Caenorhabditis elegans: one gene and its partner. The protein of the gene in region 1 purifies or fractionates together with the protein of each later gene. This does not show direct contact. Each region holds a gene or a part of one and is shown on either strand. Other genes may lie near its edges.

Region 1 (4,264 bases):
AACTCATGCTGCTGTATATGATGTTGGAGGAGCTAATTTAAGTATTGAAGCAATATTTGAAGGAAGTAATGATGCTGTTATTTTTAAGGTAAATTTTATTTCCTAAAACTTATAGTTAACTAATTTTTCTTATTTTTCACGAGGACTTCGTGTCATTAAAATCCATGCCATTATTACTCAGACGCGAAATTTTGTTATTTTTGTGACCCCAAAAGTACGGTACCTGGTCTCGACACGACAAAATTTTGTTAACTGCAAAAAGGTGTGCGCCTTTAAAGAGTACTGTAATTTTAAGTTATCTTTGCTTCGGAATTTTTGATATTTTTTAATAAAAATTTTTTAACTGGCGCAAATCGACAAAAACCATGAATTTTAACAGAAAAAAAAACGAAAAACTGCAATTACAGTACTCTTTAAAGGGACACGCATGTAATAAAAATTTGGCATGTCGAGAACGGGCACCTTATTTTTGGCGAAAAGTTTATCGAAAGAGGCTATTGCATAAAAACTTTGCGCGTCAACTATTTTGCCCTGTCCGCAATTCTGAATGAGACGGTGTTTGCACATCTCTGAACAAAGACCACAATCTGACTCTTTTTGCCAACTGATTTTCGCCCTTTGCAGGTTCCGAGTGTGCTATCGGTCGTCAAATCGTCATCATATACAGTTGTCTGAAGTATCTCAAATCATTTACACACATTTTCCACATCTTCCTGTGATATTCTACTCAAGAATCGCTTTTTTCAACGGGTTTAGTCCCTTTCTAAACTTCCCTTTGATATTTGCCTCAAAAATCGCCCATCTTTCATGTAAAATTTATGTGTTATTTTTATTTCAATATTTTAGTTTCAGTTCTATTCGTATTTATTCATTTTTCTTATAATTTTATGCATAAATTCTCAAAATTTATTGATTTTTCTTGTCTTGTGCTGACTCGGTTCTTTTCCAATTATTATATGTACATCTTAAGAATAATCACGAAATCCTGTGAAAATAATTAAATCATTTTCAGTACCGAAAACCTTAAAATGGCCTCACAAACCCAGGGAATTCAGCAACTTTTGGCCGCTGAGAAACGTGCCGCTGAGAAGATCAACGAAGCTCGTAAGAGAAAGTTGCAGAGAACGAAGCAGGCCAAGCAAGAGGCTCAAGCTGAGGTGGAGAAGTACAAGCAGGTAATAAATATTGATTTTAATTTAAATTTTAAAAAACTAATTATTCAGCAACGCGAGGCAGAGTTCAAGGCATTTGAACAACAATACTTGGGAACCAAAGAAGATATTGAGAGCAAGATTCGTCGTGATACTGAGGATCAAATCAGTGGAATGAAGCAATCTGTGGCTGGAAACAAGCAAGCTGTGAGTTTGAACAAATTTCCACACAACTTTGGGAAATCTTTTGCACTTTGCAAAATATTTACTGGAGAACTTTCAAAAAAAATTTCTCGAATTTAAATAAAATGTTCTAAAATAATTTTATTGAATTTCTATATTTGTCACCAAATTAAAATATAGTTATTGTAAAACGGCACATACACATTTTTGGCTCACACTCTCGAAAGTTGCATAATATCTCAATAAAATCCGTTAATTTCAGGTCATTGTCCGTCTCCTTCAACTCGTTTGCGACATCAAGCCAGAGCTCCATCATAACTTGACTCTCCAGAAGAAACTTCACGGACAGTTCGCTGCCTAAACTTTTCGTTTTCTTTAATCTCTGACAATTCTGATCATTCCAACTTTCGCTAAGTCCCGCCCCTTACTTTTATGATGTGATATCCCTCTCCCATCAATTTCTAACCAATTCTGTAGAATTCTCCATTTTCAATTAAAAAATTATAGTCGTCACTTTTTTTTCTGTGACGACGTATTGTATACTATTTACAAAGAAAAAGCTTATACGTCAAAGTATTTCGTCGAATAAAGGTTTTATAGAGCTGATTATAAACTGGAAATTATTCTTTCTCTACGAATTAATCAATAAACGTATTCAGAAGAGGTTTTTCGCAAGTGTGAAACGCTATGTTCAAAAACTGCAGATTTTACCATACTTGCGCTTTTTTATAATTCCGAGATTAATTTTTGGAAAAAATAGCAAAATTTAAGCAGTTTATGTTTAAAAAAGTTCGTTTTTAAATACGCTCAAATAAAAAAAGTAAGTTTTAATTTTAAGTTTCAAAGGGTTGAGTCTCGCCGCGAGAATTGAGTTCTTGAAAAATAATTGGTGCATGCGCCTTTAAGTTTACTGATTACATTGCAAGTCTGCATTTGCGCGTCGAGTTGTGTGTTTTTACGTACATTCGAAATAGTTATATTTATTTATTGCGCAATTGCATTAATGTTTTTCTATACCGAATTTTCATTGCTTTCTTGCAAAATACATGTATTTTCTTAAGAAATTTGTGAATATTTTAAATTATACATAATTGTTTGACCTTTCAGGAAAAATGATTGAAATCACAGTAAACGATCGACTCGGAAAAAAAGTACGAATCAAGTGCAATCCATCAGATACAATTGGAGATTTGAAGAAGTTGATCGCTGCACAAACTGGAACACGGTGAGATTTGAAAATTACCTTTTTGAATTTGATAATCTTTTTGAAATTGACTGATGATCCCACAATCTTTTTTTCTGAATTCTTAAACTTGAAAATCAATTATATTGAAAAAAAAAGAATTTAGCTTTTTTATAGACTTTAGAAGTTAGAAGTTAAAACGTTTGAAAGGAAAAAAAGAACTTAAAAACTAAAAAAAATCAAAAATGGCACAAAAAGTCGTTATTAAAATGATCTCGAGCTAGGAAATCGCGTTTTAAAATACAATTTTTCTGTGTTTTGCCATCTCATGCGGCTATTCGCATATGTTATTTTCGTATGTTTTATATATTAGAAACAAATTGAAAATTTGAAAAACGGCAATTTGCCGATTTGCCCAAAGTTTTCCAAGATATTTTACATGAGAAAAAACATTAATAACATTTTCATAGATTTTACTTGCATGTCAAAATAGTTCTAGGACATTAAAATAGTGCATTTAATTTTGCAGAATTTATAATAAAAATTTAAAAATTTACAACAATTGCAAAACGAAAAATTTCCGACTTTGCAAAAAAAAACTTGCCTCCCAGCCCTGTGTTTTATTAAATAATTGATTTTTTTGTAATTTGATCATAAATTTCGACCGCCATTCTTGGTGATGAAATATACATTTTTTATTGTTTAATAAAAAAAAATCAATTAAATTTCAGATGGGAAAAGATCGTGTTGAAAAAGTGGTACACCATTTACAAGGATCATATCACATTGATGGATTACGAGATTCACGAGGGATTCAATTTCGAGCTCTACTACCAATGATTCATCAGAATTCATTTCATTTTTTAAACAATTATTTACTTTTCAACTTTTCATGAATTTCAATTTAATTTTTTTTGACTTCGAATAAATTTCAACACTTTCTTGATTTAAATGCACTTTTAAAAACATCTTATATTCATTCTTCCACCCCATTAATTTCTGCCGTCTTGTTTGACCACTCCCTCTTTCTTCGCTCCCACCCGAGTAGGCTCCGCCCATTTGTTCGACCCAAAAGATTTTGTCCGATTTTTTCTCTTTTTCTCTCTAATTCTCTTCGCCTATCAATGTGTTTGCGCGAAACAGTTTAGTGTGGATAGAGAAAAATCAGTGGATAGTTAATTTTTGCAGATGTTTTTTTTTTGAATTTTCAAAAATATTACTTCTAAAAGACATTTCAGACCAAGGGCAATGGCTGCTGCAGCTCTGTGCTGTGCTTCAAGGGTACGTTTTTAAATTGAAAAGTTTGAATCCCGAAAGCTTAAAATGAAATATTTATAGAATACAAAAATAAAACAACTTTTGAAAATTAATAAAAAAATATCTCAAAAGTTAAAAAAAAAGTTTCTCTAAATAGAAATATTCAAACATATGGTATCAATAAGCAGTCGTATTGACCTCGTTTCACAATAAAAATCTGGATTATCCGTTCGTTTTTTTGGTCACCACAGCTTTTGAATTAAATAGCTATTTTTTAAAGTTTTGTTTAAAATAAAAACTTTAATTGAAAATTCAGAAATAATCTCAATTGTATAACTGTATTCTATTTCCAGTTTATAAAACCTAATAAAAACCAATGTTAATCACTTTTGAAAACATTTCCTTTTAGTTCTTTTCTCTCTCTTGTCATTCCCTTGTATTTACTTCAACAGTAGTAAAATAAGAAGGACATAAGCTCTCTTCGGAGGGC
Region 2 (3,982 bases), 1.7 Mb from region 1:
CGAGGAAGAGCAAGTTTTCGTCGACTACGCCATTGAGTTGGTTAAAAAAGCTGGAACGGTGAGTTGAATTCGGATTAAAAAATCAAACTGTTTCCTAAAACAACAACGTCGTTATTATCTTTGTCTTATTTTTGTTAATTTTACAAATATGCACATTTAAATCAAATGCGTAACTCGAAAAACAACATTCTCTATTCCTCAGTTACGAAACAAATTTTATTATTTGAAAAAACATCAATATTCGAAAAAAACATTTTCAGCTCGTCCGTACCGCGTTTGACTCCCCGGAAAGCAAGGTTGACACAAAATCATCGAATACTGATTTGGTGACTGAAACTGACCAAGCTGTTGAAAAGCTTCTCATCGAAGGGCTCTCCGAGAGATTCAAAGGACATAGGTAAGAGCAAGGAATTCCCACGGTCCGCTCGATTTCACTCATTGTCTCCATGACAACCAGTTGGACTTTCTTTTTCAATCGAGTATTTACATAAATTTACTATTTTGATTCAGATTCATTGGCGAGGAATCTGTAGCCGGAGGTGCGAAAATTGAATGGACTGATGCACCAACATGGATTATTGATCCGATTGATGGAACTACTAACTTTGTTCATAGGTAAGATTTTTTTTAAATCGGACTCTTCAAATAATGGCAAATCGCGTTATTTAATTTCTAATTTGGACTCAAATTTTTCTCGAAAAACAAATTCTTATGTTATTATAGAATCCCTATGATCGCAATCTGCGTTGGACTTGCAATCAAAAAACAAATTCGTGCTGGAATCGTATACAATCCAATCACTAATGAACTTTATCTCGCTCAACTCGGAAAGGGAGCTTTCAAAAATGGATTTCCAATCCGAGCATCAAAGAATCAATGTAAGTAATTGCACTTTTCTTGTCATGCACCCTGCTTTTTGAAGTGCTTTCAAAGGGAGTTCTCTGTCAATCTCTCGGTCTGCATAATCGTGTTCAGTTCGGCGATCGCTGGCTCGACATTGCCCAGTCAAACATGCGAAATCAAGTGATGGCTGGTGTGCGAGGGTTTGTTTTAATTTTTTGGTCTAAAATTGATTACTTTTTTACAAAAAATATACCTCCACACTTCCCGCGCTGGTTTTGCACGTTTTACTTTCAATTTTATTTACATTCACATAGAAACGTTGCAAATTCCAGTCATTGCGGAAAGTGTGCTCATACTTCAACTTGGCTCAATTCGATCTCCTGTTATGCAGAAATCATTTGTTGATTCTTACAAGACTGTTATGTTCGACAAACAATGTCACGGGTACTTATAAATATTTTTTATATTCTTGTCGAAATCTAGTGACTTTCTTGAACTGTGCGTTTGCAAATTTTTTGAAAGTTTTACTAAAATTGAGAAATGGATAAGATGGAAAAGTTAGATGTTGGATGGACAAAGTTTAATATGAAAAAAATCACGAGGATGATGTGATATTATTATTTTTAATATTGTTATACATAATAAAAGTTATTTGAAAAAAATCCAAGTTTTTTTTTCAGACACCGTTCGTTTGGCTCCGCCGCGATCAACATGGTGATGGTTGCACAAGGAAGTTGCGATGGATATGTTGAATACGGGATTCACGCTTGGGATGTTGCTGCTCCTTCTATCATTGTCACAGAAGCCGGAGGTGTTGTCACTGATCCAACTGGATCCCCATTTGACGTCATGTCAAGAAAAGTTCTCTGCGCTGGAACAGCTGAACTCGGACGCGATTTATCTGCATGCCTCACTCATGTCGATTTCGAGCCGGAAGCCTAAATATATATTTAACTATTTATTTTCAAAACTCACATATTGTGACATAACATTCCTACCATAACATGCATTATCTGTATTTCCAATTTAATATTAGTTTTTTGATTTTATTTTCTAGTCGTATGTATTCTCGTTTTATGAGAATAAATTATTTAAAGATGTTTATATCTTAATTTCTGATACTTCAATTGCCGTTTGAGCGCACTTGATTTATTTATACTGTCTCTTTTTTAATAATTAAACTCAATATTCAGCTCTCACAAGCTCAACATCATGGCTTTGGCAGAGGAGGACGTTCACATGATCATCAAGCAGGTACCGATATTTTATATGTCTACTGTATTAATTCTTTGAAAAACTATAATTTTTGAGTTGATTATTGTTTATTCACATTCTCGTAATCCAATAATCTTTCAGGTACTCGACGAGGTTGTAGGCGCAAGCACCCAGTATACCCACAAGGACAGTGTTCAGTGGAATCAGAAGGCCGTCGAACAAATAACGAAGAAGCTAGTGGCAGCGGGAAAACCATACAAATATGTGGTTACCTCGTCGTTCCTTCAGATCTCGAGCGGTTCCGGTCTCAATGTTAGCACGATTTCCTACTGGAATAAAGTCACGGATTGTGAGTTAACATTTTGTATTAAAACATTAAATAATAAAGAGGGAAATAAATTTATTACTCACAAAGTTCTGATTTTGAAAGTTGGTATTCAACTTATAGCTCAAAAAATCTCATTTTCAGCCTCGTACATGTACCGTTGGGAAGCCAAAACAATGCTTGCAATCGTCTATGTTTTTGCAATTGCAATTTAACAATCCACAGCTTCATCTTATATGTCTACTCTGGTTTTCCTCGTTTACCGCCAATTCTCCCCTTATTTCTGATTGTTTTTTTCTTCCCCATTCATCACACACTATCATGTTTTATATTCAGACCTATTACCTGTCCAGAAAAACTGAGCTGAAAAAATCCGGACGAGCAGCTCCTTCACATTCAAAATCTTCCATCATTTCCCCCACTCAATTCATTTGTTTTGTCTTTGATTTTCAAATTTTTTGCCTTATTATTTTATTGCTAAATTAATGAAAACTGTTACTCCTCATTTTGACCGTCGCACTCATTGAAGGTAGTTCGAGATTAGATGTTCAGATAACTTGCGGGACGCGTTAGGACACAAAACAAGTGCGTCAGATCAGCCAAAATGCTTCCACGAATAATTCCATCGGTTCTGTCTGTGGTATTACTTTTTTCGTTTTTATTTTTTGTAACGGCAGTCTTACTTCAATTTATGTAAGTATTGATAGTTAAAAATTATCACCGTTCAAAAATGATTGAAACGATAAATTTCCAGTCGAATCGATTCACCAGATCTTGAAAATGAAGAAGTATTTCATTCGGCACCTTATGATATATTCATTTATTCTGCATTTTATTATAATAAATCAAAAAGTCTCGGAGATTCTTCAATGGTTATTCTGATGACTGCTGATTTTGAAGTTTTGGAAAAAGTTAAAAATCTTGAACTTTTGGGCATAAATGACACGAGTCGAGCTATGACATCTGCTGAATTGGAAAGGTTTGTGTATTTAATTTCTTATTTTTGTGTTGATTCGAAGTTTTTGAGCTTTTCGGCACCAATTAAATAAGATTTGAAAATTCAATGAAAAAATTCAAAAAAAAAACCAAGAAAGGGGCGGAGCTTATTCTGAAATTTTGCAGGATCGGTAATCAACTATTTCCTATGATTAAACCGTTCAAAACTAAAGGCAGAATAATCTAATACCTTGGTTTTTTTTGAAATTTTTGCATAAAAGTTCCATGTACCTAATAGATGTTTTTCAAACCTGGAAACAATTCTGGCTATTTCTGAAAAATACATAAAACAATACAAAGTAGATGGTAAATCGAGAAAATGGAAGAGTGGCCGAGAAAATATGCGAATCTCGGTCATCTACCATCTGCAGATGCATCTGTCGATTTAAGAAAAATTATAAGGCCGTCAGATATCCGAGATTTTTATACAACTCACCAACTTCCTTGTTTGATTCTCCTCCAAAATGAGAACTACAAGACAAATCAGACGGATCTCAAAGTCGCTGATTGGATCAAACGTGGGCGGAGCGATTAATTTATTGGTTTTGCAGTTCTCATTTTGGAGAAAATTCAAACATGAAGATTATCGGGAGTTGGAAATAC

What was found. The genes of interacting proteins can lie anywhere in the genome.
Region 2: the proteins of ubl-5 (region 1) and dylt-1 fractionate together in Caenorhabditis elegans (co-fractionation; one large-scale study listed by BioGRID). This does not show direct contact.

Annotation. Positions count from the first base shown.
Region 1 is NC_003279.8:5,607,019-5,611,282, reverse strand, and holds ubl-5 (Ubiquitin-like protein 5), read left to right. Parts: upstream 1-2,441; 5' UTR 2,442-2,446; coding exon 2,447-2,559; intron 2,560-3,248; coding exon 3,249-3,357; 3' UTR 3,358-3,457; downstream 3,458-4,264. Other genes in the region: trpp-8 (Trafficking protein particle complex subunit 8), read left to right, coding at 1-88, 625-675; vha-10 (putative V-type proton ATPase subunit G), read left to right, coding at 1,029-1,175, 1,224-1,358, 1,597-1,695; tns-1 (Tensin homolog), read left to right, coding at 3,766-3,798.
Region 2 is NC_003279.8:7,298,968-7,302,949, reverse strand, and holds dylt-1 (DYnein Light chain (Tctex type)), read left to right. Parts: upstream 1-2,036; 5' UTR 2,037-2,055; coding exon 2,056-2,097; intron 2,098-2,199; coding exon 2,200-2,407; intron 2,408-2,527; coding exon 2,528-2,598; 3' UTR 2,599-2,885; downstream 2,886-3,982. Other genes in the region: Inositol monophosphatase ttx-7, read left to right, coding at 1-58, 261-397, 511-615, 724-878, 923-1,043, 1,524-1,785; BAH-4 (Glycosyltransferase family 92 protein F13G3.3), read left to right, coding at 2,988-3,076, 3,138-3,362.